Linked DNA regions of Tamandua tetradactyla. The protein of the gene in region 2 binds, or shares a complex with, the protein of the main gene of each other region. Links are inferred from orthologs where the notes say so. Each region holds a gene or a part of one and is shown on either strand. Other genes may lie near its edges. The genes, in order: RAB29 and LRRK2.

What was found.
Region 1: the proteins of LRRK2 (region 2) and RAB29 are in contact, whole or in part, in a cryo-EM structure (PDB 8FO2), measured with the Homo sapiens proteins. The link is inferred for Tamandua tetradactyla from reciprocal best matches to the Homo sapiens genes LRRK2 and RAB29. Residues at the interface, in NP_940980.4 of Homo sapiens: Arg361, Lys362, Arg399, Met402, Leu403, Leu406, Met407, His408, Leu437, Ser438, Lys439, Gly440, His442, Leu443, Asn444, Glu447; in NP_001129134.1 of Homo sapiens: Leu7, Val42, Asp43, Phe44, Ala45, Leu46, Arg58, Gln60, Trp62, Leu76, Tyr77.

What each region holds. Positions count from the first base shown.
Region 1 is NC_135330.1:63,500,924-63,512,369, forward strand, and holds the start of RAB29 (ras-related protein Rab-7L1), read right to left. Parts: upstream 5,650-11,446; 5' UTR 5,394-5,649; intron 5,280-5,393; exon of another isoform or gene 5,275-5,279; 5' UTR 5,152-5,274; coding exon 5,028-5,151; intron 3,092-5,027; coding exon 3,020-3,091; intron 2,386-3,019; coding exon 2,204-2,385; intron 1,902-2,203; coding exon 1,780-1,901; intron 1,482-1,779; coding exon 1,367-1,481; 3' UTR 1-1,366. UniProt on the Homo sapiens protein: The small GTPases Rab are key regulators in vesicle trafficking. Essential for maintaining the integrity of the endosome-trans-Golgi network structure.
Region 2 is NC_135333.1:99,677,137-99,688,745, forward strand, and holds the start of LRRK2 (leucine-rich repeat serine/threonine-protein kinase 2), read left to right. Parts: upstream 1-6,610; 5' UTR 6,611-7,319; coding exon 7,320-7,473; intron 7,474-7,775; coding exon 7,776-7,861; intron 7,862-11,609. UniProt on the Homo sapiens protein: Serine/threonine-protein kinase which phosphorylates a broad range of proteins involved in multiple processes such as neuronal plasticity, innate immunity, autophagy, and vesicle trafficking.

The DNA.
Region 1 (11,446 bases), on a different chromosome or scaffold from region 2:
AACAGAATCACCAAGAGAGACTATAGAGACTGCGAAAAGCCTGGTCATCTATGCCTTCACTAAGAAGACATAGCAATGGTTTTTCTAACCAGGCTGATCAGAATCACCTGAGGAGCTTTGGGGAAAAAAAAACAAATTCATGGGCTTAGCTTCTGGAAACTTGATTCAGAGGTTAGAACCTGGATACTTTAAACATTTTATTTTCTAATTTTTTTTTTTTTTTTTACAAACATCTAAGATGGTTTTTATCAGCCAGGTTTGGAAGTCACTGACTAAAGGCGCTTATCTAAGGTCTATCAGAGAACCTTAGGTCTCTGAGTTCCTAAGAGTGTTCATAACTTCAGGTAGGTTATAAATCACCATTCTAAAGTTAATTTAACAAATTAAAGTGTCTAAAAGTGATTTGGTACTAAAAACCCTACCCAATTTAGCACTTAAATTACCTAATGATTTTCTGTCTATCCATTCTCCATCCCCAGGCCAGTTCCTATAGATAATATATTTTTTCCATAGCGGTTAAGTGCTAGCCACCCAAAGTGATCCCACACGAATTAGTTCTGTTAACTTCTTCTTCCATTCAGATTCCAAGAGGTGCCAGGAAAGATCTATTTCAGGGCACCATAGCCAAGTTATATCACTTGTAGCACTATGAATCAGGCACATCAACCCAGAAACCTGCAAACCTTGCCCTCACACTAGATACTAGAAACCATGATGTGGAGAGAAATGCTCTCATCACACAAGACAGGTAACTTAAAAGCATGACTATTCTTAGAGCCAAACAAGAGAAAGCTAATTATGACTTTAGAAGCTTCGAAAATAGTGACTTTTGGGTCACCTACAGTAGCCCAAAACCCATTGATGTCCAGCTCCCCTCCTCTGCAACCCCGAATCATATGTTCAAATCAAAGTCCAAGAGAGAAAGCCTCTGAAAGCAATGAGTTACGAGGAATTTGGGAAATGATATTTGATTTTGTTTTCCTCTCAATCTTAATCATAATATTAATATCTATCAAATGGAAAAATAAATTCAAAAGTAACTGAAAAATATGATTTTTTAAAGTCATAATTTAAATCTACTCCTTCCACCAAAACTCCAGATAACAAATTGAGGGATGAGATAATCCTCCTTATACAGAAGGCACTAACTGGCCACATCAACCAAAGTCAGGTCAGAGCAAACATCCAAGAGATGCAGAAATGCACATGGGTCCCAGGTGTCTCTTCTGAATGTTGATGGGTCTCTTTACCGGATAATCAGGAGACAGTTCAAAAGGACTTAATAAAACTTCGGATGGGCAACCAAAGGCAAGAGATAGAAGGGATTCCTAGAACTGGAATGAAAAACAAGAAGTCAAACTAACTACTAGCAGCAGGTCCAGCTGGAGGAGGACTTGGTTTGCAGGTTGATATAGTTCCCTTGAGTAGACAAAGACATGATGTCTTCTCTGGAATTGCTCATCATCTTTTCAATGAGAACTCTAAAAAGTAAACAAAAAATACATCTGAGAAGCTGGCTGGAGAAAAGGGAGAAATGGCAGACCCTGTCCATCTTATCACAGACAACATTCAGAAAAGTAACAGGTTTAAGCGTCCCTTAGTCACCAGTTATCTCAAGAGGGAAGACAGCATCCCTGACCTTCAGAAGCTGGCACTCCAATGGCTTGATCTGTTCTCGTTTTCTCAGAAACAAACCAACCAACAAAAAGGGTCCATGGGATTGGCATGGAAGGTGCATAAGCCCACATGCCTATGCCCAGAACAGCATGAACTACTCACCTCATGGCCTCGTTAACATTTTTATTCTCCTTGACTGATGTTTCCGTCCAACCTATGAAACCATTTTCTTTACTGAACCGGTCAATCTGGTCCCGGCTCACTGCCCAAGGGGACAGATCACACTAGCAGAGAGAATAAATAAAAGGCAACCCCATAAACTTCCTGGGAATAAGAACATTGCTCAAATACCTGCGACTTTAAAACATTCCACGACCAATGGCTAAGAACACCAGCATCTAAAATCTACAGTGGACATTCTTTCCAAAAATAGTCCCATCCTTAACATCCCTCAAAAAGCGAAAGGGATGATTCTGTCAACTTCAGAAGGGGAAATTGGCATCCAGAACCAGAGAGCATTTTAAATACATTTACTCTCTGACCACAGATGAAGGTCAGGGGCCATTTTCCTAAGCTGACCACATACCTTGTTGGCCAAGAGTAGGCAGGGCACGGGCTCTCCACTGGGCAGTGTGAGCTTGCTGTCCAAGTCCTGTTTCCATCTCTGGCTATTGCTGAAGCTAGTGGCACTGGTAACATCAAACATAATAACACAGGCAGAGGCATCTCGATAGTATAGCCGGGTCATGGAGGTGAAGCGCTCCTGTCCTGTTCAGGGAGAGGAGAGGGCTCCGGAGGAGGTGATCCTGAGAGCCAGTCTCAGTTCCTTCTCTGACACCTGTCTTCTCTACCTTCATTGTGGTATGGGATAGTATGCATCATGGTTAAGAGTCCAGATCCCCACTCTACTACTTACCATCTATGTGACTCTGGGGAAAGTAAGCTCTCAGTGTTCACATTTCTTATCTATAAAGTAGGGATAAAAGTAGTTGCTCCTTTATAGGGTTATTATGAGGATTAAGGAGTCAGTGAATATAAAATACTTAGAAGAGTTCTTAGTATATAAGTGTTAGCTATTATTACTGTCCCTATTTTCTAGGTATCTTGTTTCTCACCAAGGTCAGCTGAAAACTTAGAAAAAGTACCCTTATCCTGCAGTGAAAGCATTTCCTGTGGTCTGGACAATCCACCCACCTTACTAGCCAACCGCTCCAGCCACACACAGAATGCTCTACCTCTGTTCAGGGGCAAAACTTTCAGCTTATGTATCCTGAAAGCAACTCAATCGTTCCAGTTTCAGAAAAAAAAAAAAAGTCAGGCTTTGCTGCTCCACTTTTTCTCTGCAAGCTTGCTGGGTAAACTAAATTTCTTTCCTTGTTCCTATTTAGCTGTTCCAGCTCACCTGCAATATCCCACAGCTGGAGTCGCACCATCTCCGAGTCAGACCACTGGAGAACCTTCAGAGCAAAATCCACTGAAAATATATATGTATTATGCTTTAATAACATTTACTTTTAATAAAGCCATGGAAAAACCCAGGGAATATGCGGTTACAAGCCCAGGGACACACAACTGCAATCTCATTTATTTCTGAGTCCTCAATAGGTCAAGGAGAGCCCACACTCAGGCATTAAGTGGGACAGATAATTCCTATTCACTCTCCAAAGGGGTCTCCAGCTTTTACTCTCCTGTCAAACCAATTTATTTGATACTACTTGTCTCAAAGGCTGGGTACAGGGGTGTGGTAGTAATCATGTAAACAACTCCTAATCTCAGGTTAAACAATTTCTGGGAAATTTAGTTTCTTTTAAATATGGAAGGGTTGATGGGAAGGGAGGGGAAAATGATGTAAGTGTGGACACTGCAGCATCTTCCACATTCAATTTCACTGTTGTTTTCTACTCCAACTCTATTATGAGAAAAACACACCTGGGGGATTCTACATCCTCCATAAGTCTGTAGGAATTATTCCAGACAGGATTCTCAGGGGCAAAAAGCAAAAAACCAGAAAAACCACTGTATGGATACTGCTTACGAGCTGTGCTGAAATCTGTTACCATATCTGTACAATCTTCATTAGAGGTGAAGAGTCCATGAGCTAAGACTGAATAAGCAATCCAGGGGGGAAAGCTTTCTGACAAGGAGAGAAGTAAGATATTTTCTGAGATTTGGACATATATTTTTCCACATCTGTGATAGAAATAAAAGTTACAGGAAATTTAGAATAAGCAATGGGAAAAAAGTGGAGTCAATTATATTCTTTACTAAATGCAAGCTAGAGCAACTGCTAAAAGTTAATTAGTAGGACCTTTTTAACCTAAATTCATGAGATAGGGAAACTCGTATTATTTAGAAGGGGAAGCAAAGAGTGGTTAGGAAATTTTCTTTGAGATTTTAAACTTTTTATTTTACTAGATGTTCTTCCAGGGAAAGAGGGATGTTTTAATTGCAATGTAAATGCTTGGGAAAAAATTTTAATTCCATATGAACATTCAGATTAGTACACTTTTTTTTTCCTCTACAAAAGTTCTTTTAACAGAGATAAATGCTTAAACTATTCTGCCCCTTCAGCATCTCTTTTCAGCTAAACACTTTTAATTAAGGAAAAGGCATCTCTACCTCTGAAAAAAAAAAACAGTTGAGTTCAAAGCCTCACCTAGGAAAGAATGAATTAACTCTTGGTGTCCCCTTCCTTCCTTTCAGGGGAAAGGGGTGGGAAGATAGGTCAGAGAAGTGGCATATTTTGCATTCTTCAAAAAATTCCTAGGTTGTCTCTAAGCAATAAATGTAAGCAATAAATGGACCGCAAACAGGCAGCTCAGGCTGGCAAGCATCTGATTCTGCCGCCCAGGGGCTCTCCATCAGAGATTCTGGGTCTCGGCCCCTGCCTAGGCATTCCATTACAGAGGGTCAGATCAGATTAGTGTCCTAGGTTCTCCCCTCAAGGACAGGTTAAACACCTTTCTGTTCCTTCTTCAACAGGTGGCGGGAATTCCCATGGTAGGTAGGACAACAGTCCCAGCTGGCGCCCAATTAGGCCCAGGGTCTCGGCTGCCTCTGTTGCTTACTATGATTTTTCCGTCATAGCTTCAAAGCCTGCAGGAGAAGACTCGAGTTCACGGCTCGCCCGCAAAACGCAGGAATTGCTCACAGTGGCATCCTCCCTTCCCCATTTCTCAATTTCACACCTTCCCCTTGTCTGTCTCTTTCCGGGCAGCGGGCCCAGGCTGGAAAAACCTAACTGGGAAATCTTAATGAAGCAAGCAAATCAAACATCTAGCAATTACTTCCTGCAGGATCTAGGACACGTATTTCCTGACCCTTCCAGAGGAAGGGCACAAAGACGCCACTCACCACCCACCGCTCCTACCCCGCTCACTCTAGCCCTCTTTCCCTCATCGAGCTCTCACCTCCCACCGTGGACTTGTAGTGTTTGCTGAAAGTGTCCTGGGAATATCGCTGGACCAGCGACGTCTTCCCCACTGCGGCGTCCCCCACCACCAGCACTTTGAACAGGTGGTCTCGGCTGCCCATGACGGGCTAGCGGGGTGTGCGTTTTAGGGAAGCGCGAAGTTGGGGAGTCGTTTGTTTTAACACCTTTCTCTTCGGACCCTCTTCAAACTGAAGTCGGGCATTCTCGCCCATCGCCCGTTGGGACTGCTCTGACGAGAAAGCAAAAAAAAGGAAACTTGGCACTCAACCTATACGCGCTTCCTCCCCGCGCGGCCGCAACTTGGGTGGGGCGCAGGCGCCGGCTCCGAGCCCCGGGTTCGCACCTTCTCCCCTCCGGCCCGGCTGCCAAGAAATGGACGGGGCACCGCGGTGCCTCAGCCACAGGCACTTCCCAGAGCAACAAGCCAGCTCATTCCACGGCTGAGGCCAGAAAACGGGGGCCCTCCTCTCGGTGCATAAACTAAAAGCCGGGAGAAGGAGCACCCCACACGCCGACTCCGAGACCCTGGCCCGCCCGGAACGACGATACTTTCCACCTCCCTCCGCACACGCGTCACGTGCAGGGTCGCTTGCAGCACTACATTTCCCACCTCACCTCGCGGGAAGAGAACTATCTGAGTGCGGACGCTCGTCCGCAAAGCCTCCTGGGAAATGTAGTTTCTGCCCCATTCATGTTTTTAAAAGCCTGCGAAAAGTTTCGTGGCTTACAAACCCCAGAATCACTCATCCCCTCTTGAAACCTTATTTGAAATTAATTCTGGATGAAAAGATCCTTCCACGGCTGTTTGCTCGACGTGATCTCACTTGCCTAAATTCTGCCCGGAGATGGTTCTCATATTTTGAAAGGCTTTAAGGAACATAGCTTAAAATTTATTCTAAAAATTCCATGAATTATTCCACTAATAAAAGTTCACCTTTTATCCCTCATGCTCCGAGTGAAGTCCATTTCTTATTCCTTCAAATAGACAAGCAAGCTCAGGACCGTATTAATATGAAGACTAGATTTCATAGTTTCCATATGACCTAATACCGGGCAGTTTCAGAGAAGACACCCACCCTTAGAAAAATCCAATGCCCAAAGCTGTAGCATTTAATAGCTAGCCACAGCAAAAATACAGACAAAAAACCCCAAGAAACTTCTTCATTTTCACTTCCACAATCACTATTCTAGCTGTAGTACTCATATCACATATATCATTTGAGCTGGAATATATCATTTGAGCTGAAAGCTAATTGGAGCACACTGGGAGTCCTGCTCCATTTTTTACTAATGTGCTCATGAATCGCTATTAAACTACAGTTTTGCAAATAGTTTTCATTTTCAAGCTGTACGTTTTCTGACTTGCCTATCCTTTAGGCAGGAGGTAAGAGGACATGAGCTTCATGGTAAGCAAAATGAGCTGCATTTTCTATGCTTTTTCCAGGAATAGAAGTGGAAGCAGCAGGACAATGGGAAAACGGCCCAGGGGCCTTACATCACGAAATCCTGCTTAGGTCTCTTGGTAGAGTGGCCACCACTTACCTTCTGCAAGGAAAGAACATCAGCCTGGTTCACCCCTTATTTAACCCAAAATGTTTGTTCCTTCAGATACATAAGGTCAGGCTAGGTTACTTTATCTTTAAAGATGTCTCAGGCCTCTTTCCAATGGCCTTTGCTCTCTTTTTTATTTGCTGTGACCACTCATTCCTTAAAATCGATTTTTCGCTTGGCTTCTGTGACACTGTTGTTTCGTAGTCATCCTTCCTCCTCCCTGATGTTCACCTTTCACTTTCATGTTTTTTCTCACCCTCCCATCTTTCCTTAGGTGAAAGCTTGATTCTTGGTCCTTGAACCTGTTCTAAAAACTTTTTACTTTAGTGAAATGCCCTTGTCTTGACTTTGTTTATGTCTTTATCTCTAATTAATTATGCCCAACTGCCAAGAAGGCCTCTCCGCTTGGAGGACCTGCCATAGCCTCCCTCTCACTACATCTTGAGCACAAAAACTGCTCCTTTTATCAACTTCCCTATTTTGGTTACAGACCTCATCATTTCTTCCCTTCACTCAGGCTTCAAACCTCAAGCGTATTAACATTTCCTTTTACACATGTCCCTTTACACATGTTCCCTTTTAAAATCAACCAACATATCCTACCTGTTCTTCCTTCAAAACTGTTTCTCCCATTCATCCTCTCTACTCCATACCCAGTGCCGCTTTAGTGCCGCTTTGGATTACTTCAGTATTCTGTTCATTGGTCTCCCTGACTCAAGTTTTTCTTCAGTTCATTCTATACCACTTGCCAGGATGATTTTCCTGAAACAGCATTGTTTGTTCCTTCAAGGTCTACCATCTGTCTTCAAAAAACTGGCCAACCTTTCTGAGCCACCTCCTATGCAGTGGCCTCCTATATCTAACTAACTTCATCTCAACTGATTTCAAATGGGCATTTCCTCCCGCCAACAAGGTGAGGTCCCTATATATATATTTTAAACAATGATAATATTTTATTCAAAATGCCAAAAATAAAATGTACAATATAAATTTTTAAAAATGAGCTTGATGCCTGGAGGGAGGACAGAGAGAGAGCCAGGAGTGGGGAGTCATACTGTGGTGGGAGACGGTGGCATTCAAGTTAGTATGTGGTGTTTCCTGTGTAGGGCAAGATGGTCAGATCAAGAGAAGCTACGGCGACAGTCTGGACACTGCAAAGGTTTGATTCCAGTATGTTTTTGGAAATGTCTTGTCAGTTCATCAGACCGTGCAACCTTCCATGTACATCCTTCCTATGTACATTTGTAGGTTTTTTTTTCCTGTATATAATCTTCTGTGTACTTTCAATTTAGACCTTTTAATGTAGGCTTTGTTGCATACATCATAATCACATCTGTATGTCCTCCATTTCCTTTGGGTATCTGTAGATTCCACAGGTAAAGTTCTCCTCCCAGGCTGTATAATGACTGAAGGATGATTCTCTTGCAACAATGCTTGGGGGGTGGGGGACTGAGTTCATTAAAGGGGGTGACATATTTTCAGGATAATAATCTTTCCTCTATGGTTCAATCCCAGGTTCTATTTTTATTTTTATTTTTCTGTAATGTAGGCTTCTCGTACAATTCAATTATAGGTACTAACATGCTACTATTTAAATTCTCCATCTCCTCCGACAAGCAGACCATGAGCAGCTGCTGTAGGTGAGTGGCGTATGTAAATACATGGGTTGCACCATGACAGGCTGTATGACCGGCAGTGTTACTGGGCTTCATATTTCATACCAGGAGAGGGCAGCAGCCAGCACCATGGCATGGACAGCGGCACGCCAAAGGGCTTGCACTCCAGGTGGAGGCGGTGAGTACTGCTTCATCACTGGACTAGACGAGGGCACGCTCAGCCCAGATGAGGCTCCCCTGTATGATGACGGGAATTTCAGTGGGAGAAGGGAGCTCCCAGCCACATGTGGTGAGCTCTGCTTATTCACCGTGAGGTCCAATGGCTCCAACTGTATTCTGTGCAAAAGGCCTTCTGATATCTGGAAGAACTCATCTGGTAACAGTGTGAAGAAAATGACTCCATACTTGTTGGGCTTTATCGGCTCAATGTGATTAGATGGTATATTAGTCAGGTGTCTCTAGGGAAACAGAACCAAGAGGAGATAACGGTAAATATGAGATTTTATAAAAGTGTCTCATGCAACTGTGGGGATGCACGAGTCCAAATTCCATAGGGTAGGCCAAGAATTGGCAACAATGGTCAATGAATTCCCAGGAGAGGCTGGCCAGCTGAAGTAGAGATAAAACTTCTGTCTTCTGACTGCTGAAATTGACAGCTTTCCCTTAAAGGTCTCAACTGATTGGATTACATCCAGTTGATTGGATTTTCTCATTGCAGAAGACAGTCCCCTTTGTTAACTGTAGATTAAATCAGCCATAGATGCAATCAACTAACCGATGATTTAAGTCCACGAAACGTCCTTGTAGTAAGGATTAGGCCAGTGCTTGCTTGACCAGACAACTGGGCACCATTATCTGGTGAAATTGAGAAATGAACCTGACCATGACACTGTGTGCTTGTGAAAACCTTGTGTCTGATGGTCCCTTTATCTAGAATATGGGAAGATGAGTAAAAAATATGGATAAAAAAGTAAACAAATAATAGGGGGAACAAAAGTTAAAATATACTGGGTAAATGGAAATACTAGTGCTCAATGAGAGGGAGGGGTAGGGGGGTATGGTATGGGTATGTTTTTTTTCTTTTTTCTTTTTATTTCTTTTTCTGAGTGATGCAAATGTTCTAAAAATGATCATGGTGATGAATGTACAACTATGTGATGATATTGTGAGCCATTGATTGTACACCATGTATGGAATGTTTGTATGTTAAGAATGTTTATGTTTGTATGTTGTTTTGTCAATAAACAATTTTTAAAGAACAAAAACAAAAATAAATGCTTAACTGGAAAAATAAAAGAGGTCACAGACCTCTTTTTTTTTCTTAGCATTTGCAATCAGCTAAGGGGAGTGTCTTCTGCAATGAGTGATGCTTAATCTAATCACCAGAAGGCTTTTAACGTGTTTTTTTTCCCTTAGCATTTGCAATTAGCTAAGGGGAGTGTCTTCTGCAATGAGTGACGCTTAAGCTAATCAGAATGCTTTTAAGGAGGACTCAGAAGAGATGATCACTCTTCCTGCTTCAGCCAGCTAGCCTCTCCTGAGAGTTCATTGAGGACCTTCATTGGAGCTGCCAGCTTGTGGCCTACCCTACAGACCTTGGACTCTGCATCCCCACAGTTTCATGAGACACTTTTATAGATTTTATATTTGCAGAGGTTCCTGCTGGTTCTGTTTCTTTAGAGAACCCTAGCTAATACACACAGTCACATTATAAATGTTATATCTTCATACAGTCACCTTCAAGAAACAAGGCTATTGGAGCACAGCTCTATAGTTTCAGGTAATTCCCCCTAGCCACTCAAATACACCATAAACTGAAAATACACCATAAACTTATGCATTATCTATACAATGCGTAAGAATAACCTCCAGGATAACCTCTCGACTCTGTTTGAAATCTCTTAGCCACTAACACTTTATTTTGTCTCATTTCTCTCTTCCCCCTTTTGGTCAAGAAGGTTTTCTCAATCCCTTGATGCCAGGTCCCAGCTCATCCTGGAATTTCTGTCCCGTTGCCAGGGAGATTCACACCCTGGGAGTCATGTCCCATGTAGGAGGGGATGGCAGCAGGTTCCCCTGAGTCTGTGGCCTCTTGCTTAACAGAGAGTATGCCATACATGACCATTCATGTTAAACCTTCTTGGGTGCTCTGGTGTTTGGCTTTGAGAACCATGGTGCTGAACGTAGTAGACAAGAAATAAAGGTCTGGCTCCAGGTTTCCTTGAACCCTGCAAATGCAGTAATATCAGCACATGCCAGTCTCAGCAGCTGTGGTGACCACAGGGGACCAGGATGAGCACCTGAGCAACAAGGGCAGTACAGCTCAGCTCCACAGGTGCCTATGCTGTGTTCCGGCTCGGGCCCCGGCAATGCGTGCCTCACTTTCCGGCTCCCCTCGGCTCCTGGCCCAAACTCCAGGAGTCACAGGATGCAGATGCCACTCTGCCATTTGCTTTTTGAGGTTCCTATACCTTGAAAAGTCCATCTCACTTTTGCTTTTTTGTTCTTTGTCCAGAGTGCCTATCTGAATGCCTTTTAAGCTTCTTTGCACCCATCTGATCTTACCACATGTCTAATTCAATCTCGTGGTGCAGACCTATTGTGGGGTGAGAACTTTTGATTAAGTTGTTTCCATGGAGATGTGACACTGCCCATTTAAAGTTGGTCTTAATCCACTTGCTGAGGTCCTTTATGATAACTGAGAGTTTAGAGAAGCTAAGAGAGAAAGAAAATGCCCTGGGGAGAAGGAAGAAGGCCCCCTGGGAGCTGAGAGAGCCATTTGAAACCAGAAGGCAGGATAGGACAGCAGATGTAACCATGTGCCTTTCGGTGTGACAGAAGAGCCCCAATGCCAGCTGTCTTTCCTCCAAGAAGGTATGCTCTTGTTGGTGTCTTAATTTGGACCTTTTCACAGCCTTAGAATTGTAACTTGTAACTTAATAAATTCCCTTTGTAAAAGCTAATCCATTTCTGGTATATTATATTCTACCAGTTTAGGCAAACTGAAACACCATACTTTAAGTTCTCAAACTTTAAGTGCTTAAGACTCACCTGGGGCATTGGCTATATATGGACATTCTGATTTTACAGGGCTGTGGTAAGGTCCCAGGGGGATCCACATTTTTGGCAAGTACCTAGGTGAATTTTATGCCAGATTTCACTTTGAGAAATGCTGCTTTAAGGCCTGACTTAAGTATCACTTTATGGATGACCATTTCCCTTATTGATC
Region 2 (11,609 bases):
AGTAGTTTTCATTTTCTCTAAAAGCAAAAATGCTGCACTGAACATTTTATACAAGTCTCCTTATGCACGTGTGAGAGTTTCTCCAGGGAGTATCATTGTAGCGAAGGTGCTGGGCCATAGCAAGCATACACCTTCAGCATTCCTAGCTTTTGCCGTATTACTCTCCAAAGTGACTATTATGACTTATATGCCCACCAGGATTGTAGAAGTACTCTAGTTGCTACACATCACATGCCAATAATTGGTATCAAACTTTAAAATTTTGGTTAAACTGAGAGATGTGAAATGACATCTCATTTTGGTTTAATTTGCATTTCCTTGATTACTTGTAGGGTTGAGAGATCTTTCCTTAGGTTTATTGGCCATTTCTTTCTTCTGCAAATTGCCTTTTATATCCATGCTTATTTTACAACAAAGCTATTTATCTTTTCCTTTATGATTTGTGATAGTTCTTTTTGTATATTCTTATTATTAATCTCTTCTTGGTTTCATACATTGCAAAAATCTTCTTACAGCTGATTATCCTTTAACTTTGCTGATGGGATTTTTTTATGTACCAGGTTTTAAATTTTAACGTAGCTGAATTTAACAGTTTTTTTCCTTTAGGGGTTGTGTTTTTTATGGCTCATATTTCCCTACCTTAAGATCATAAACATAGTTTCCTACATTTTTTCCCCAAACTTTTGAAGTTTCATTTTTCATATAAAAAAATCTTTAATCTACTTTATTTTGGGGTATTGCTTATGGGATTTTTTGGGTGCAATGCATGATTTTATGTTTTTCCATAACTAATTGTCCCAGAAACATTTATCAAATAATACCTTCTCTTTCCACTGATATGCAATATGTCTCTCAGATGCCATTTCTGTATACGTAAGGGTGTGTTTCTGGGTCCTCTATACTTTTTCACTGGTCGCTTTGGTAACTGTGCCAATAACATGCCAATTGATTTCTATAGCTTCGTAAGATGACAATGCATACTTCATATACTGTACAAGCTGTGCCCTACACATTTGCACAGTCTGAGAGAATAGGTGGAGTCTGAAATCCAAATCCTGTTTGGTTCACCCTGGCATGGGGCTGAGTCCGCCTGGAGGGAGGGGCCCATTTTTCTAACTCACAGGAAGACATTGTCTGCTGAACAAACTCTGAGCCTCTGGGTCTATGTACACTTCCTCCCCACAGGGGTGCTTTGTCCTACTCTGGTGAATTGATAAGATATAGGCAAGTAGAAGCAACTGTGGAATGTCTTTCTTTCTTCAATGTTTTATAAAACACTTATGCTTGCAACTTTTTTTTTTTCAGCTTGCCAATTGTTTTTTAATTTCATTTGTGGTTTTACTTTGACTGTAGAAAATTCAATTTTTTATGGAGACACATATTTCAATCTCCTGTGTTTCTTTCTTTATGTCTCCTCATACCAAGATTAAATAACTATTACTCTATATTTTCTTCCCAAAGCTATTTTCATTTAACTTTTAATCCATCTTTAATATGTTTTGATATTTTCTATAAATTAGCAGTGTCAGTTTTATTGTTTCTTCCCAAGAAGTTAAACAAATATTCTAGCACTGAATGCCACCTTTATCATGAATTTGTGCCTGCAGCAATTTTTTATTTTCAGTTTTGGTAATTTCTTGAAGAGTTGTTAAGTTTTGGGATTTTATTCGATCAATTAAGAATTTTTGAAAGCTAAGAGGACATTTTTTCCTACTATGGTAGGAGTTTATAGAAGGAAGCTCTCAACAGAAAATTAATGGCCCCATATTTTTCAGTTTGCTAAAGCTGCCAGAATGCAATATACCAGAAATGGGTTGGTTTTTACAATGAGGATTTATTAATTTACAAATTTACAGTTCTAAGTCTGTGAAATGTCCAAATTAAGGCAGCAATAGGATGACACCTTCTCTAAAGAAAGGCTGTTGGCATCTGGGATTCCTCTGTCTTATGAGAAAGAACATGCTGGTATCTGCTGGTTCTTTGTTCCCAGCTTATGTTGCTTCCAGCTTCTGGTCCCAGTGGCTTTTTCTTACAGGTCCTGTGGGTTCTTCTTGCTTCTCTGGGTGCTTCTCTCTCTCCAAATGTCTCTTATCCTCTCATAAAGGACTCTAGTAAAGGATTAAGACCCACCTTAAGTTGAGTGGGTCAAACCAAAAGTACCTTTCTTCACCTTTGGACACATTTTACTCTCACATCTACTTTTTCAGACTGAGCTGTCACTACTACTTAGGAATTGAAATCTTCATATAATCACTTTACACTGAAATTTGGTCATCTAAGTTTGTATGATATGAGGTGGGGATTTTAACTGGGGGTGGGGGGAGAAAAATTGTCATCCCTCTAAAATAACTATCATGGAAAAAAAGTAGGAACAACATGTAAAGGCAGCAGTCATGGTGGCCTTTAGGAAAAATGGAGCAGAGAAGCTCTGTGAGCAAAGCTCATTTATTTCAAATAAATGGATTTTTAAAAGTGGATTGACATCTGACATTAATATTTATTCTAACAAGTTACCTAACAACTGAAGTTATTGATTCCTATGTAGATTGTTATAATTATTGGATGCAAAGATAATAAATATTTCTGGCTTGGACTTTTGAAACAGTTTGCATATTGTAAGCACAGTTTCAATGAAACATACTTTGAAGCAAAAAAAAAAATTGGGTGGGTCATGCCTCAATTGAAATAACATATCAAAAGATTTCATTTACAATAGTTCTGCTGCCACAGGAATGGATTAAAAGAACATGGCCTTTTCAGGGTACATGACAGTTTCAAACCAGCATACTCTGCCTCTGGACCCTAAAAGGACATGTTCTTTCCATATGCAAAATACATTCATCCCATTACAATATCACAAAAACCTTAAATTATTTCAGTAACAATATTAAGTATAAAGTCTCATCAAAATCAGTTACAGGTGTGGCATATCCTAAGGCAAAATTCTCCTCTGGCTGTGGAACTTAGAACAAGTTATCTGCTTCCAATATACAGAGGAGAAACAGTCATAGGATAGATGTTCCCATTTCCATGGAGAGAGATTGGAAGGAAAATAGGCATCAAAGTTCTGAAACAGTTCTGAAAAACTGAAGGGCATACTTCATTAGATTTTAAGATCTGAGAGTCAGCTATAGAATGACATTTTGTCTTGAGGCTTGAGAGAGCAACAGTCCTACCCTTTCCATGGTCTTGCACAGTGCACAGCAGCCCTGCTTTCTCCAAACACTAGGCTGAGGGATCCAATATCTCCAAACATTGGGGAGACAGATATATTTTCCATTCCACCCTCTTCAAGCATCTGAGTGGCAGCTAGACTCTCTGTCATCTCTAGGCACAGGCTCACCCTTCTCTGAACAGTGGGGTTGTGGCCAGGGTCTCCCCAGTCCCTGGAGAATGTGCTCCACCTTCTCAGAGGGCTGAGGAGGCAACATTCTTCCTGAACAATAGGGCAGCCAAGCTCCCCTCAACTTCCCAGGCATCTGAGAGCCATGAGGTAATACTCTTCTTGTACAATGGGTGGGAGGCCCATTCTCTGCAAACTCTGGGACTCACCCATTCCACATGCATGGGTGGGTCCACTATCCTGGTCCAAGATTTCTTTGTACCAGATATCAGTTCCCATGGTTCTGCCTTTGAAGTAATTTTTCCTTCAATCTCTTCCTTTTCTATCTCCCTTTAGCCCACACTGGCAGTGGTTCTGTTCACACAGATCTTGCAAAAAATTTGTTGGCTTCACATGCAACACACAGGAGTCCTAACTGTCAGACAATAAGACTTTCCATAAATCATTTCTGAATAGCTGCATTTTCAATACAGGCTTGTCCTGAAACGGCTGGCTGTTTGCCTATTCGGTTAATCCTCATAAAACATACATAATCAGTAATTCACAATATCATCACTTAGTTGCATATTCATCATTTCTTAGAACAGTTGCATCGATTTAGAAAAAGAAATAAAAAGATAACAGAAAAAGAAATAAAATGATAACAGAGAAAAAAAAGTTATACATACCATACCCCTTACCCCTCGCTTTCATTGATCACTAGCATTTAAACTAAATTTATTTTAGCATTTGTTCCCCCTATTATTTATTTTTATTCCATATGTTCTACTCCTTTGTTGACAAGGTAGATAAAAGGAGCATCAGACACAAGGTTTTCACAATAACACAGTCACATTGTGACAGCTGTATCATTATTCAATCATCCTCAAGAAACATGGCTACTGGAACACAGCTCTACATTTTCAGGCAGTTCCCTCCAGCCTCTCCATAATATCTTGAATAACAAGATGACATCTACTTGATGCATAAGAGTAACCTCCAGGATAACCTCTCGACTCTGTTTGGAATCTCTCAGCCATTGACACTTTGTCTCATTTCCCTCTTCCCCCTTTTGGTTGAGAAGGTTTTCTCAATCCCTTGATGCTAAGTCTCAGCTCATTCTAGGGTTTTTCTCAATCCCTTGATGCTGAGTCTCCGTTCATTCCAAGATCTCTGTCCCAAGTTGCCAGGAAGGTCCACACCCCTGGGAGTTATGTCCCACGTAGAGAGGGGTAGGGTGGTGAGACTGCTCATTGCGTTGGCTGGAGAGAGGGGCCACATCTGAGCAAAAAAAGAGGCTCTCTTGGGGGTGACTCTTAGGCCTAAATTTTAAGTAGACTTGACCTATCCTTTGTGGGGTTAAGTTTCATATGAACAAACCCCAAGACTGGGGGCTCTGCCTATAGTTTTGGTTGTCCACACTGCTTGTGAGAATATCAAGAATTCAACTTGGGGAAGTTGAATTTCTCCCCATTCTCACCACTCCCCGAAGGGGGCTTTGCAGATACTTTTCCACTCACTGATTGAATCATTCTGGGATTCATCGGGGCATCACTCTGGACAAACCAGCAAAATCTCATGTCCTACCTGAGATTCCAAGTACTTATGGCATTCAATCAAACTATCTACATAAGTTATATTAGGAGATGCACTAGTCAAAATATAAATTTTGTAACAAACATTTTTTGCTTTAGTCTCACACAGAAGGTGACATTTTAAAATATTAATTACCATTTATTTTCAATACCCTGCAATAATGACATTCCTTTGTTCTTCCTCATGCAAAAACATTTTTAAAATTGTACCTTGTACATTTCACTATTAGCATACACTCTAGGCATTGCTAGAAAATCACCTACTCTTATTCTGGTTAATATAGAGTAGAAAATAAATAGATAACGGATGGATGAATATCAATTGAGGAAAAGAGGAAGTTCCTTTTCTATTTAAATTTACCTTCTCTTAGAAAGGAGCTGTACTTTCATTTCTTGTATGATAATAATCCAGTAGACTGAGAAGGGAAAACTGATGCAGAAGAAGGTGTAAGGAAGGTATGAAGGGAGAATTGATAGGAAAGTTTGATATCCATTATGTAGTCAGAAGTCAAAGAAGTTCAGAAGCCAGTTAATAAGAGATATATTGCAGATACGATAAAGATTACAAAGCAGAGATTTTTTTTTAAGTTTTCATTATGGAAATTGTCTTTATTATAAAAGGTAGAGAGAATAGTATGAGAACTCCCAAGAACCCATCTGCAACAATTTTTAATTCAAAGTTAATATTGTTTCATTTATACCTCCATGCACTTTATCTCTTCTCCCACTATTATATTACTTCGAAGTAAATATTAACCATTATATCATTTCAGTTGTAAATATTTTATCATGAATCTGTAAAAGATAGAAATCTCTTTATAACAATAATAAAACATTTATGAAACATACTCATACTATCATAATCATTAATACTGCCAATTTGCTACTTTACTCACATAATGATTACGGAATGCTATCTCATTTTGATTAAAGTAACAGATTGTGAAGAACCCTGAATTTGGTGTTAAGAGATTGACATGAGTTTAAATCCCAAATCTCAACTTGCAAATTGTGTGAATGGGGCAAATCTCCTCACCGAACATCTCCGAATATCAATTTTCTCATTAATAAAGAATGATAAGTAATAGCTGTCTTATCCATTTCACAGTTGTCATCAGCATAAACAAGTTAGGGGACATGAAAGGAATCTAAAATTGTGAAGTACTAACTTCCAGTCCAGTCTTTTCCTTTATGAATGACGCTGAGGATAGAACACCTGTGTCCAGCCGTCTACAGAGCTTTTTAAGTAGATTTCCTTTTGTGAACAACATATGACTTTGGTACATTTTTTTTTTAACTTTAGAGTTGTTAATGCCCATATTCTTAAGTCTGAACAGCAGAGCTGCAAAATTTAGTTTTTGTTCTTTCATCTTTTCTACAGGTCATTTCATTTACCTTGTCTTTCTCTTTACTCATAAAAGCACTGGTTGATTACTTGTTGGTGTGCCCCAATTATCAGGATCCGACCTAGGCAAACTCAAAAGTTAATTAATTTCAGAGCCGTTTTGGCCACCAGAACTTCAGATAACTAACAAGGAAGACACATTTTATTTCCTCCCCTACAAACAGGTAGAATTTAAGAGTCACATAAAACAATTTAGCCGGGCAAATTTTGATTGCTAAAACGTCGCTCCATCTGGGGGGGTGGGGGTGGGAATGACTCATCTCCCTCTAGGGGGAACCCTAAAGAGAATGCTTCCCTTAAAGGGCCAACTGGGCGGCGTCCTTTTTCTCCTACGCCCTGATTTCTATTCTTAGATTTGGAGTTAGGCGGCTTTCACTTTTGCTTTTCCTGGTTTCCAAACCTTCTTGGGGCTAAAGGAGTCCAGGTTGGCGGGTCCGGGAGGGTGGCGGGCTCCAGCAGCAGCCTGCGCGCCTCCTCCGCACCCGGCCGCGGGTACTCGGCGAAGTTCGCTGAGTCAGTTTGTTCCTGCGCGACTGCGGTAGTGGCGCCGCGGCTGAGGAATCCGGACAGACGAAACGGCGCCCGTCGCGGGTACCGTAGCGGAGCACGCGCGGGTCACGGTTCCCGTCGGCCCGGCCCGGCCCGGCTCACGCGGGTCGAGCCCAGCCTGGACCACCAGGCAGCGATTTTGCGCGGCGCGTCGCGTCGCCTCAGCCGAGCCTCCGGCAGGCCACAGCTCGTTTTTTTTTTTTTTTGGAGCGGGGGTTTGGAGGAAGCAGGGGAGGAGGGCTCGGGGAGAGGAAGGGGAGTGCAAGGCGGAGAGACGTCGCTTTCCTCATCAACAAGCGGGCGTGGGCAGATGGGGCCGGCGGGTAGTGCCGGCTGCGGGCGGTGAGTTGTGCTCGCCCCGGGGAGCAGTGGCCTGCGCCCGGAACCGCTCCCTGAGCAGCCCGGCATTCGTGCACGGAGGGGCGGCGGGTGTGGAGCGGGGTCCACCATGGCCAGTGGCAGCTGTCAGGGGTCCGAGGAGGAGGACGAGGAAACTCTGAAGAAGTTGATAGTTAGGCTGAAAAATGTCCAGGAAGGAAAACAGATAGAGACGCTCGTCCAAATCCTGGAGGATATGCTGGTGTTCACCTTCGCCGACCACGGTAATCATTTGCAAGGGACCTGTTCCTCACCCCCCCACCCCCACCCCCACCCCCGTCACACACGCACACATACACACACGCACACATTTGCAAACTTTATTCCCTGCTCTTTGGATCTCTACTCAGGCCACGACTTTTAAGAAGTGGCCAATTCCCTGTTCCTTTCCCTGAGACAGAGAAGGGAATTGGAAATTTCAGGAAAGTCTTGGGGCCTCTTTTGCTGTCCCCCACCCCCTTCAGATTTTAAAAGGGCTTCGTGAATCATAATTTTGCTTCTTTCCCCCCACCCGCTTCTTTTCCAGCCTCCAAATTATTTCAAGGCAAAAATGTCCATGTGCCTCTCTTGATTGTCTTGGACTCATACATGAGAGTCGCGAGTGTGCAGCAGGTAAAAGAGTTTTCTTTGTGTCCAGTTCCCCTTCTGCTTGGAAAGAGATGATTTTCTGTCATTACATACTCGGAGTTCTTGTTATTTCTGAGATTTGCCTTGGTCAACCGCTGACCGTGATTTGAAGATGGCAGCATTGCCCAATTATTATCAAATGCTAACTGTGGGTCTACTTTAAGAAGTAACTTTATAATACCAACCGACAGAATATGTACGGGAATTGACAGGAGTAATAATGGGTTGAGATCTAGTTTTGTTATCGCCTAGATGAGCTCATTAGTGTTCACATCAGATTAGTCTAAGAATCTTCCCAGAGCACAGTCTTGTCCTAGATATGACATCCCTGTTAATAGTTTGGAAAAGGGGTATAATTGACAGCAATAAAATGCAACTGAGGAACTCTCTTAGGTGTCAAGAGATTTTTTTTTTATTTGAAGACTGTTAGATTTGTGGTTTTGTTAGTAGTTTACCTTATCATATCTAAAGACAGTGCTTTGATTCCCTTATGTGTTTAAATTTATACTTTGTACTGTAGCAGTTTTCATGTAAAATGAGTTAACCTGAAACTTTTAGAATTCTTGTAATAGGAAACCTAGAGATTTGCTAAATAACTTGGATATATTAAATAGGGAGCTCTAAGATGACAATTAAGGATAATTTGCAGTCAAAACAGAATTACCGCATAACGTGATAACTTTTTTGAGTGCATTTTGAGATTTGGGAACTGAAATCAGTTTTGTTGTTCACATGTTAAATCCTGAAGAGAAAGAAAACAGAACTTTGGACTCCAAGGGGCAGTTAGAAAACCACTGTTTCTTAATGCTTATTTGAGAGGCTAGACATATGTAAGAATTATCTCTATTGCTAAATCTGTATCTTTACCTCTATGCCTATTTTTGTATCCATCTCTATAAAATCAGGGTGACCCAATATATCTAACTTCCTTTATATAAGAACATTTATATCTAGGATGAATCGTTACTTTTATTTTCCTTAAACTGTAAATTTTTTTCCATCTGACTATTAATTTTCAGGCTGCTATGAAACAAAACCAAGCAAAGATAGAGGCATGATAAAGCTGCTTGTTCTTTTTCAGTACTTGAAGTCTGAATTTTGCCCATGGAATATTTGTGTTGCTGCTTTTCACCCACATTTTCTCTTCTAACTTGCCTCTGCTTTGGTGTTCACAAGTGACTTCTAGCACTCTCCGTTTTCTGGATTTGTGCTTGTTTTAGTTCTCCCCGCCCCTCACCCTGCTCAGTCAACTTGGGAAAGTTGGACCCTGGGTGAGATTTGGTCTTCAGGGTCCTGAGGAGGCCATGCTAGAACTCAAGGGAACTCAAAACATACCAGTCACCTGGTTCTTATTCACGTCAGAAAACTTAAACCTGGTCCTCACTTCTCTGGAGTAGTTATGAATGTTACCCACTGTTCTTGTCTAGTGGGAACCAGAGGCAAAGTATGTTGGGAAATAAGGCATTGCCTTCTGAGTTGATAATGCAATGGCATAGAATTATTAATTACAGCACCATATATGCATATGTCTGCAAACATTATGTATGTTACATCATTTGATTCTCACTGGAGTCTCACTGTCACCTCAGAAATCTCACTGGATAATTTCCCCTCATGGTAATTCTGTGAGAGTAAGTAACTTATTTAGGACCACAGAGCTAGTGACAGAACCAGGGCATAAATGTGAGTCTTCTCACATCTTCAGAAATCTCTTTCCATTATACAGTCCACTGCTGTTGAATTTGCAGAGTTTTCATGCCCACGGTTTAATACTTCATTTAAAAGAAAATAGTTTTTTGTCTTTCAAATTTCTTCTATTGATAGGTTTAATTAGTACAGGTATCATCTAATGTTTTATATGTTGAATTAGCTGGACCTCCTAAATTAGAAGTTCTTAATTGATGAACTTAAGTTATAGTAAATGGACTCTTGATTACTCTTCAATAATAAATATTAAGGTTTGTTTCTGGAAGTTATGTAACATGATATTCTAGACTCTGAATTTTGTTCTTGAGGTCTTTTCATTATTTATAAATAATCTTCAATAAATGTCTATATTTAGAGGATTAGTAGTTAGGCTAGCTGCCTTGAAATTATCTTTTCCTGCCAATCATCTGATCATTTTAATTTATTCCCTGCACTCCTCAATTTTCATTACTTCTCTTTATCCACATAGTTTCAGGCTTTGAAAAAGAAGCAAAATAAATGAAAGTGACTAAAATTATATTTAACCACTAGAATATTTCCCATTGAGCACAAATTAAGGGCTTGAGTTTAAAGAATAATTATAATAAAATGAAACTACCAATTTAATTGTACTTTAATTATGCAGCATGGAAGCCTCTCCTTGAAAGATAAGCTCTTAATTGAACAGATTAATGAATCCATTGTTACTCTGATTTGCTGCCAGAGACTCTGTTTACTCATAAGAGTTTCACATAGTGACTGAAAACTCAAAAAAGCAATAACTGATGCTATTGCTTTACCGACCAAAAAAACAGGTGTTTTCTTTGAGTCAGTCATGCAGGTACAGAGATGAGTTCAGCATCCATGTGACCCATTCTCCTGTCCCCCCAAAGTTTTCAGACCCGGAAGTTGTTCAGAATGTTATTTTTCTTAAATATGTGGGAACGTTTCAATACATTTTATGAAACCACAGAAATAGCTGGTTTCTATGACAGCTGAATTGTCAGCTTAAGTGGAGGAGGATGTCCTACTTAAATATAAGGTAAAAATAACTCAAAAATTGCCTTTTCAAGCAATTTAAAATTATATAAAAGGAAGCAGTGACAGAGTAAAGCAATTCATGCTTAATATGGAAAAGATCCGGAAATAATATTGTGAAGAGATCTTGTATATCTTTTGTTTTTTTTATCTTTGTGAAATACCCCTTGTTTATTCCTGTAAACAAGGGCTCTAGGTACCTCTGTTCCTTACTGAATATACATAAATTCCTTACCATGCCATTCAACTCTCTTCATCTTTCAACTCCACTAGTAGTCGGTCTTATCTGGCAATATTTCGTACCCCTTACCCTTTAACACCTTTCTCCCTTCATAGCTCATGAGCTTTAGAAGATTCTATTTGCCTATTTTGTACAACCATATTTATAATTCTTTTGAAATTTATATGAAAAGTCCTATCTCTTCCATATAATATTCTTCTCTACATTATTGTACTTCACTGTGACTCTCACTTTCAGAATTTATATTATAGTATTTGTCATGTAATCTCATATTTAGATACTTCATTAATCTTTAGATGCTAAATATGTATGCATTTTCTGTTTTCTTGGTTTGTTCCTGACCATACCAAGTATAGTTCTATAATGCAATAGAATGGATTGAAGATTCTTTTAATTTAGAGAAGAATAGATAGTAGGAAGATTGGGTTTAATTTTAACTCCAGTTTCAAAACAGGACCTCATCTTTTTTTCACAGGTAAAAAGCAATTTATTTAAGTTGGTTTCAAGTGTAAATGGACTGAATGAATATACCTAAAAGGTATTAATAAGATAATGTTTCGTCTGGGAATGGGAAAAGTTCATGGGAGTTCTGTAATCTGCTCTAGACTTCATCCACTCATATTTAGGCATTCTGGAGAAATCTAGGTGGGGGGAAAATTGAAGAATTATACTTCCTCTCTAAATAACAGTTCCTTTCTCTTTATCCTGTAACTGATACAGTTTCAATGACTGGACAATGCCATTTCTTGTGAGCTGTTTTAGCTCTAT